2 linked regions of the Sus scrofa genome follow. The protein of the gene in region 1 interacts with the protein of each later gene in a biochemical or structural test. Links are inferred from orthologs where the notes say so. Each region holds a gene or a part of one and is shown in the gene's direction. Other genes may lie near its edges.

Region 1 (4,086 bases):
CTTACTTTTTCCTAGTATGAATTTATGATTAATATGGCTTATTAGGCCTCTAGTGTGACTTTATAAACAGAACCAAGCTGTATGCATCTTCCAAAACTGAAAAATGAGAACTAGCTTTTCTCCATTTAACTTTTTCTAAAAGTTTCTGAAAATGATGCTTGTGTTACAGTTAAACATCAGCTGTACAGCTCTCTCTTTCTTTAGCTATTAGTCCCTTAGGTATAACTTTTATAATCAAAAGGAGGTCAACTGTATCCAAATACAAATATGCCAGAATGTCTCTGGCATAGCTCTCTCCCTAAAGATTTTAGTAGTGTTACTTAAGGAGAGAGAGAAAAAGTGCTATGTTTTATCTAAAAATCTAAGAACTTAATTCATTTAAAAAATAAAGTACTGAATTATCCTTGCAGAGAACTATGAAAGCTTAGCATCTCTATGTAACTTATTTTTCTGCTTACTAAGTTTAGGCAGAACTTGAACAATCACCAAAAAAATGCTTTTATATAGGAATTACATGGCTACTGTTGATGACTGCATCTCATATTGCTATAAACTGCAGGGAGGGGGCACAGCAAAACAACTCCATGGTCAGGTCCCAGGATCCAATTAATTTCAGAAGCAGCTGAGGGCCAGCTCTTGGCCAAATTTCAAAATAGGTGGAGAACATATCTTTCTCTCTATTTAGATGCCGGTTGTCTAAGCTTCTGAACTTCACTGCTAGTAATTAATTGTTATATGTCCAATAACAGGCTTCAGGTGGAATATCTCTTAAGGCTTGACTAGATTGTGTCTTGAAGCCCAGATGCTTCCCATCAGTACACTGGGAAATGAGTCCCAGTGGAGTGACACCAAAGCTGAGTTTCATGAGAGCATTCCTCTTTCTGATTGTTTGTATGCCATTTAAAACAATTTCACTACCAAGAAGATATTTATTAAATAACCCCTATTTGCAAATAATCACACATATGAATGTTTCCCCACAGTTAATGGCATTAACTTCCAAATGTTCATTTTAATGATGTAATTGTTTCTTTTTTCTATCATTATTAACTAATCTTTCAGGCTGGTGGTTTGATGCTTGTGGCCCATCCAATCTAAATGGAATGTTCTATACAGCGGGACAGAACCATGGAAAACTGAATGGGATAAAGTGGCATTACTTCAAAGGGCCCAGTTACTCTTTACGTTCCACAACTATGATGATTCGACCTTTGGACTTTTGAAAGTACAATATCAGAAGTGATCATAAAAGCCACAGAGAAATCTGGAGAAGCCACCAAATGAGAAATTGCGTGAAAACTTCTGAGACAAACAGTATCGTCTCCCTTCCAGCAACAAGTAGCAGTTATGTGAAATCACCAAGGTTCTTGACTGTGAATGTAGAATCTTTTGAGTTCACAGAAGTCTCTACTTGGGGTGACTGTGTTCATATGGCTTGACTACAGAGAATGCCACTCACTGTCATGCTTTAAAAAGGGAAGAAACTGTTTAGCTCTCTGTGCTTCAAACTACTACTGGATCTTATTTTGGAACTTTGGTAGCCAGATGATAAACATGGTCTATTTCATGTAAAACGGAAGACAAATAAGAAAATAGGAACAACAACAAAAAAAGAGTATACATGAAGGATAAAAACAGGCCTGCTATAATTCTTTGGAAAAGATGTGTTGCACCAATAAATGGTGTTATTTCTATGCAAACCCACTAACAATAAGTTTGTACTGTTGCACAATTTTAATAAAAGTTCAGAAAGATTAGCATTGCTCTCTGAGTTGGTTAAATGGATTTCAGAAGCCTAATTCCTAAATCATACTTACAAGTTGATGTCAGTTAACACATCTTCAAATGTAAATTCCATTTTGTTAAACTATGAAGAATTGTAGTGCATGAAGAATAGCAGTGTGAGGTAGAAACACAGTCCATTACTCTGATATTTTGGATGCAGTTTTCAGAAAAAAAAGTGGACAGTTCAAATATGGACATATAAGGTGAAAAATTATCCCCCCCATGCTTCAGTTTTCATTTACTTTAAAAAAATAACTGACTTATATATAAATATATTTATAGCCTGAGTAAAGTTTAAAGAATGTGAAATATACTTCAAGCCCTTAAAACAATACACATGCATTTAATATTTCCTTTGATATTATACATGAAAGCAGTATTTTAGAGTGTGTTAGTTGAAATAAAACCAAGTAAACTGGAACAGCTCATTTTATAGTATCTTCTTGCATATGTACACTTAAGTGTAACTTCATTATTTTTAAAATGATCTTAGTTCTTCACCATGTTATTTCATGTTAATTTAATTTTTGCTAATTAACTGAAACTTACTTTCCAGATTCACCCTGTTCCAGCTTCTATAAGAGATACAATTTGAAGTCTATGAAAAGTGAAAGAAGAATTATAAATACCATTGTACATAGCATGTCTATATCCACAGTAAACCTAATAGGTGTTTGATCTGGAATATGAAGTGTCTTCAATTGATGCAAATAAACACATTTTCAAAAAAAATCTACCATAGCACTTTATGAAACATGTTATTTACTCATGTTTTTTTTTCCTTGTCTGTTTTCTTAGGCAATTTCTGATTTTAATACATTATTATTAGTGGAAAAAATTGTCGAGACTTTATGTTACATGCTAAGGAAAACACACCCCCAAAAAGAAAATTAATCACAGTCACTTGACTAAGATAATTCTAATTAATAGTCACTATAAATCTCTTAATAAAAATATTCCTACGTGATAATCTATTTTTAGTGAATTTTGGGGCACATATTTTTGTGGCAATTTGAATTTACTACAATATTTTATCAAGAAGTACTTTCTGCCTCTAAGTATTCAAGGTTACCGGAGTGAACAGTTTTTATCAAAACATGAGGGTACTATGAGATAAAATTGAAATCCGTATTGGGTCTCCTTTTTTAGAAAATAAAATTTTTTATCAGGACAACAATACTAGTTTCAGACCTGGTGGCTTGATCTATTGTGCCTTTATACCTTTCCTCTCCTTGAAAGAATAAAGCTATTCACATTTTTAGGAAATTATTTTTTAAAGTTTACCATCAACTGTTTATAGTGCTTTGTGTACGCAACCCTGTTTTGCCTTACAAGTGATATTTTCAGATTTTCCACGGCTTCTCTATTCTCGGTGACTCCTTCATAGCACCATTTATGCTCTCCCTCTAAAAACTTTCCTTTTTATTTTATTTTTTAATGGCTGCACCCATCACATATGGAAGTTTCCAGGCCAAGGATGATTGAATCGGTACTGCAGCAGCTATGACCTATGCCACAGCTGTGGCAACCCAGTGCGCCAGGACAGAGATTGTCCCATTCCTCTGCAGTGACCTGAGCCACTGCAGTCAGATTCTTAACCTACTGCACCATAGGGATAACTCCTAAAAACCTTCCTGATTGATTCAAGTGAATGAAAGTGAATGTTTTGGGTTTTTTGTGTTCCTACAGATTTTTTTTTTTTTTTACCAGTAATATTCTTTCCCAACTCATAATACAAAAATAAAATGAAATAATGAAAAAAAGGAAAATATGATATTTACTGTTTTGTTTTCTGTGTTTGAAAAGTGAAATATTATTTCCATTTATAATAAGACAGTATAAAATGTTTTATGACTCCACTGTGTACATCGTGTAATGTCTACATGTTTGCATTTAATTTATCCTTTGCATTTAACTATTTCAGGATAAGATAATTAGGCAGTAGGATTCTGTCTTTAAATTTTTATGTTAATTAAATTTATGTAGTTTCTATACTAGTTTCTTCATACCAATCACAGCTTTATTTGATTTAAATAAAATTGAAAGTATCATATTTGTGCAACTTCATCTCATTTTAAACTATTTTACAAGTTCTAAAATTAGAGATCTATGAAAGTGTGGGTTCCTTAAAAAAAAACTGCTTAATGTACTAAAGCCTCAATCTTTGAATATCTTTCAGTCTTGCATGTAATAAAGAAGCTTAAACTCCATTAGAATGTTAGATCAAAGCAATGGGTCTGAGTCCAACATCTCTACTGTGTGATTGTTATGTCCTGACTATTTTTTTAGTTTAATTTCTTG
Region 2 (4,398 bases), on another chromosome or scaffold:
GAGGTTCAGTATGTTTCAAGGGCCATTTGTATCTACTTTTCTATAAACTTTCTGAACCATGAACTTGTGTGTTAACGTGCAATCTTTTTCATAATCTTCACCCATTTAAATATTGGATTTTATAAGTCCTTATTGATTTCTAATATGTAATAATGAGTTACACATTTTTTTTTTGTCTTTTTTTGTCTTTTTGTTGTTGTTGTTGTTGCTATTTCTTGGGCCACTCCCGAGGCATATGGAGGTTCCCAGGCTAGGGGTTGAATCGGAGCTGTAGCCGCCGGCCTACACCAGAGCCACAGCAACGCAGGATCCGAGCTGCGTCTGCAACCTACACCACAGCTCACGGCAACGCCGGATCGTTAACCCACTGAGCAAGGGCAGGGACCGAACCCGCAACCTCATGGTTCCTAGTCGAATTCATTAACCACTGTGCCACGACGGGAACTCCGAGTTACACATATTTTTGACATTTGCCTCTTATTTTTGCCTTTTGGGTTATTTATATTTAGTAAATTCAATTAATCTTTTAAGGTCTGGGGATTTTTTTCTTTTTGGCCACACCTGAGGCATGTGGAAGTTCCCAAGCCAGGGATCAAACTCGTGCCACAGCAGCAACCTGAGCCACAGCAGTGAAAACACCAGATCCTTAAGCTGCTGAGCCACCAGGGAACTCTTAAGGCCTGTGGATTTTAAAACTTAGTTGGAAATATTACTCAATCCAAAGTTAAAAGAGAATTTATCTACGTTGTGTTCTAGTTCTTTTGTGGATTTTTTTTTTTTTTTTTTTTTTTTTTTGTCTTTTGTCTTTTTAGGGTGGCATCCGAGGGACATGGAGGTTCCCAGGCTAGGGATCAAATCAGAGCTGCAGTCACCAGCCTACACCACAGTTACAGCAATGCCAGCCAGATCCGAGCTGTGTCTGCAACCTACATCACAGCTCATGGCAATGCCAGATCCTTAACCCACTGAGCAAGGCCAGGAATCAAAACTGTGTCCTCATGGAGACTAGTCAGATTCATTTCCACGGAGCCATGACGGGAACTCTGGACTTGATTTTTGATGTTTAAATCTTAGACCTATTTGGAGTTTATTTTGATATATGATATAAAGTATGGATCCAACTTTATTTTTTACTGTTACTAATTGTTGCAACATCATCATTTATTGAAAGGACCAATTTTTCTCACTGATTCAAAATGCCACTTTTTATGCATACTAATTTCCTGTTTGCATTTGGGTCCCTTTCTGGATGTTTCTCTTCCACTGATCTATTTGTGTTCCAGTAACATTAACTTTTTTTAATTGCCGCGCTCATGGCATATGGAAGTTCGTGGGCCAGGGATTAAATCCAAGCCACAGCTGTGACCTATACCACAGCTGTGGCAACACCAGATCCTTTAACCCACTGCACCAAGCCAGGGATGGAACCCTTACCTCCACAGCAACCCAAGCTCTGCAGTTGCATTCTTCTCTCTCTCTCTCTCTCTTTTTTTTCTTTTCTTTTGAGGGCCCCTTTTATCCTTTTTCTTTCTTTCTTTCTTTCTTTTTTTTTTTTTTTGTCTTTTCAGGGCCTCACCCTCGGCATATGGAGGTTCCCAGGCTAGGGGTCCCCCAGGTTTTGGTTTCTAATATCATTCTCAACAAACAACCAGGGCTGCTTGGAGAGGGGGCTCATTCTAAGAAACGGCATAGGAAATATGCAAGATGAGCCTGGAGTATCTTGTGCGCCCAGGAAGTAAGGAAGGGTTAAAGAACAAATGACAGCCTAAAACACCAGTAACGCTTGTGGGGATTTGTCAAAGGAACACGGGAACCAACTGAAAGAAGTCCCACCAGCCATGGCGGCAACAATTTGAGCAAGAAAATAAGTAGTATTGGATTACAACCCAAAGGATGAAATAAATATCTGTGAGTTCACAGCGATATAAACAAATGATTGACTAGATAAATAAATGCTGGAGAATGAAGACATAGCTCCCTTTCAGAAGAATTCTGATTCATTTTTGCAGATAAAGCCTCATAGAGCGGGAGAGTCCCGGTGCTTAAGTGTGGGCTGCGTATAGTGACTTCAAAGAAGGTGGTATGGGAGTTCCCGTAGTAGCACAGCGGAAACGAATCCGACTAGGAACCACGAGGTTGTGGGTTCGATCCCTGGCCTCTCTCAGTGGGTTAAGGATCCAACATTGCCGCGAGCTGACGTAGATCACAGATGCATCTCAGATCTGACGTGGCTGTGGCTGTGGTGTAGACCAGCAACTATAGCTCTGATTCGACCCCCAGCCTGGGAACCTGCATAGGCTGCAGGGCGACCTTAAAAAAAGGCAAAATAAACAAACAAACAAACAAACAAACCTAGGATGTGAGAAAGGGATTTTTTGCCCAGGACCACCACCATCCAAAGTACAAACTAAGTGGGGCCTTGGCTGGCCAGCCCTCCCTAAGCGGGAGCTCCCACCCAGCCTCCCAGCCACTCTCCAGCATCATCTGCTGCTCCCCGTCCCCTCAACTCTTCTCCTTCCCCCGTCCCAGCCTCCGCTCACAGAAGAGAATGGGAGAGGCCAGGTGGAGGGAAGGGGGATGGTTCAACATGGAGAAAAGGAGTCCCCAGCCCCAAATAAGCAAACACAGCAGGTCTCCCATGGGCTGGGGTCCTCTAGGCACCCAGGGGTCAAGGGAGACACCCATTGGTCATACATGGCAAAGGAGGCCAGCACAGCCACCCTACCTGCCCCCTTTATTCAGAGGTCTGTCCTTCCCATCGCCACCCCCAAAAGCTTAGAATCGCTCTGTAGGAAAAACAGAATTCCATTTTGAGGTAGTTTAAGAGTCTTGATGTGCTGCAGACGATGTGCAGATGGTACAGAGGTCGGGAAGGCTTCATTTGGAAATGCCCGGGGCAGGGTTTTATGTGCCTGCATCTATGCAAAGACACAGTGTGTTCTGAATGATTGGGGGGGGTCCTTTTTAATGACCCTTCCAAACCCCTGTTGGACTTCGTCATCTCCTGTGGCCTTCACCTCCTTGCACCACACCACAGACTCCACCATAACCCAGAAATGCTCCACGGGTCTCCCTGCTCTCTGACAGGAGAGCGTTCCTAGGAAAACTTGAAGCCAAAATGGCATAAAGCAAAGAAGCAACCATTCTGGACACCTCTCACTAATGGGTGCACAAAACAAGCCAAGATTAAGCTGCTCACAGACACAGTTCAAAGTGCTGGTGGCTTGATGCTGAGATGCTGAGTGCAGTTTCAGAGGAAGGAGCTTGGGGGTCCAGCCCTCTAGCTGCTCCGGGGGTGAGCTGCCTCGGTAATAACTCCCTGCAAAACAAATGCTCGATGCTATTTTCACTTTTCACCTTTTAGCATGAAAGCAAAACTCCTCCTTGGATTTCTCTCGGTCCGAAAAACGCAAGTCTCTTGTAAAAGCGAAGTGACTTAAAGTGAAAAGTGGGGGACATGAGTAATTCCCATATTTAGACCTTGATTCGGAGTTCAGCCATGTGTTCCCCAACCCCATGAGATCAATGCTACTCAAAATGAGGCCGGTGGGGCAGCACTCGGACAGCTATTCACAGAAATAAGGGCGAAAACCCTGCTTCCGTTAACCTGCTCCTAGAGGACTGTGCCATGGCCTGGATGCGTGTGGCCCCCAGACTTCAAACATGGAAACCCTAACGCCCAGTGCGATGGTACTAGAAGGTGGGGGCCTTTGGAGTGATTAGGTCATGAGAGCGACATTATAAACATTCCTCATTGATCGTGCTTTGCTTTATTGTGCGTCACAGATGTTGCCTTTTTTTTCAAATTGAAGGTTTGGGGCCACCCTGCATCAGGCAAGTCAATCGGTGCCATTTTTTCCAACAGCATTTGCTCACTTGTGTCTCTGTGTCACAGTTTGGCAATTCGCACAACTTTCCAAACATTTTCATTATTATTTATGTTATGGTGACCTCTGATCAGTGACCTTCGACGTTACTGTTATAATTGTTTGGGGGTACCACGAACTGCACCCATATAAGATGGCAAACTTAATTGATAATTTTTTTTTCTTTTTACAGCCATACCGGCAGAAGGAAGTTCCCAGGCTAGGGGTCAAGTGGGAGCTGCAGCTGCCAGGCTACACCACAGCCACAGCAACACCAAATCTGAGCCACATCTGCAGTCTACACAGCCGTGGCAATGCCAGAAACCCTAACCCACTGATCGAGGCCAAGGCTTGAACCTGTATCCTCCCAGACAGCATGCTGGGATTTTAACCTGCTGAGCCGCAATAAGAACCCCTAATTGCTAAATGCTGTGTGTTCTGACTGCTCCACTGACTGGCTGGCCAGTCCCCCATCTCTCTACCTTTTCTTGGGCCTCCCTATTTCCTGAGACACAACAACATTGAAAATAAG

The links.
Region 2: the proteins of ANGPT1 (region 1) and TIE1 interact in a biophysical measurement, tested with the Homo sapiens proteins (2 studies listed by BioGRID and IntAct, with this or other methods). The link is inferred for Sus scrofa from reciprocal best matches to the Homo sapiens genes ANGPT1 and TIE1.

Annotation. Positions count from the first base shown.
Region 1 is NC_010446.5:30,229,946-30,234,031, forward strand, and holds the end of ANGPT1 (angiopoietin-1), read left to right. Parts: intron 1-1,062; coding exon 1,063-1,223; 3' UTR 1,224-3,489; downstream 3,490-4,086. UniProt on the Homo sapiens protein: Binds and activates TEK/TIE2 receptor by inducing its dimerization and tyrosine phosphorylation.
Region 2 is NC_010448.4:167,944,369-167,948,766, reverse strand, and holds the start of TIE1 (tyrosine-protein kinase receptor Tie-1), read left to right. Parts: upstream 1-1,513; 5' UTR 1,514-4,398. UniProt on the Homo sapiens protein: Transmembrane tyrosine-protein kinase that may modulate TEK/TIE2 activity and contribute to the regulation of angiogenesis.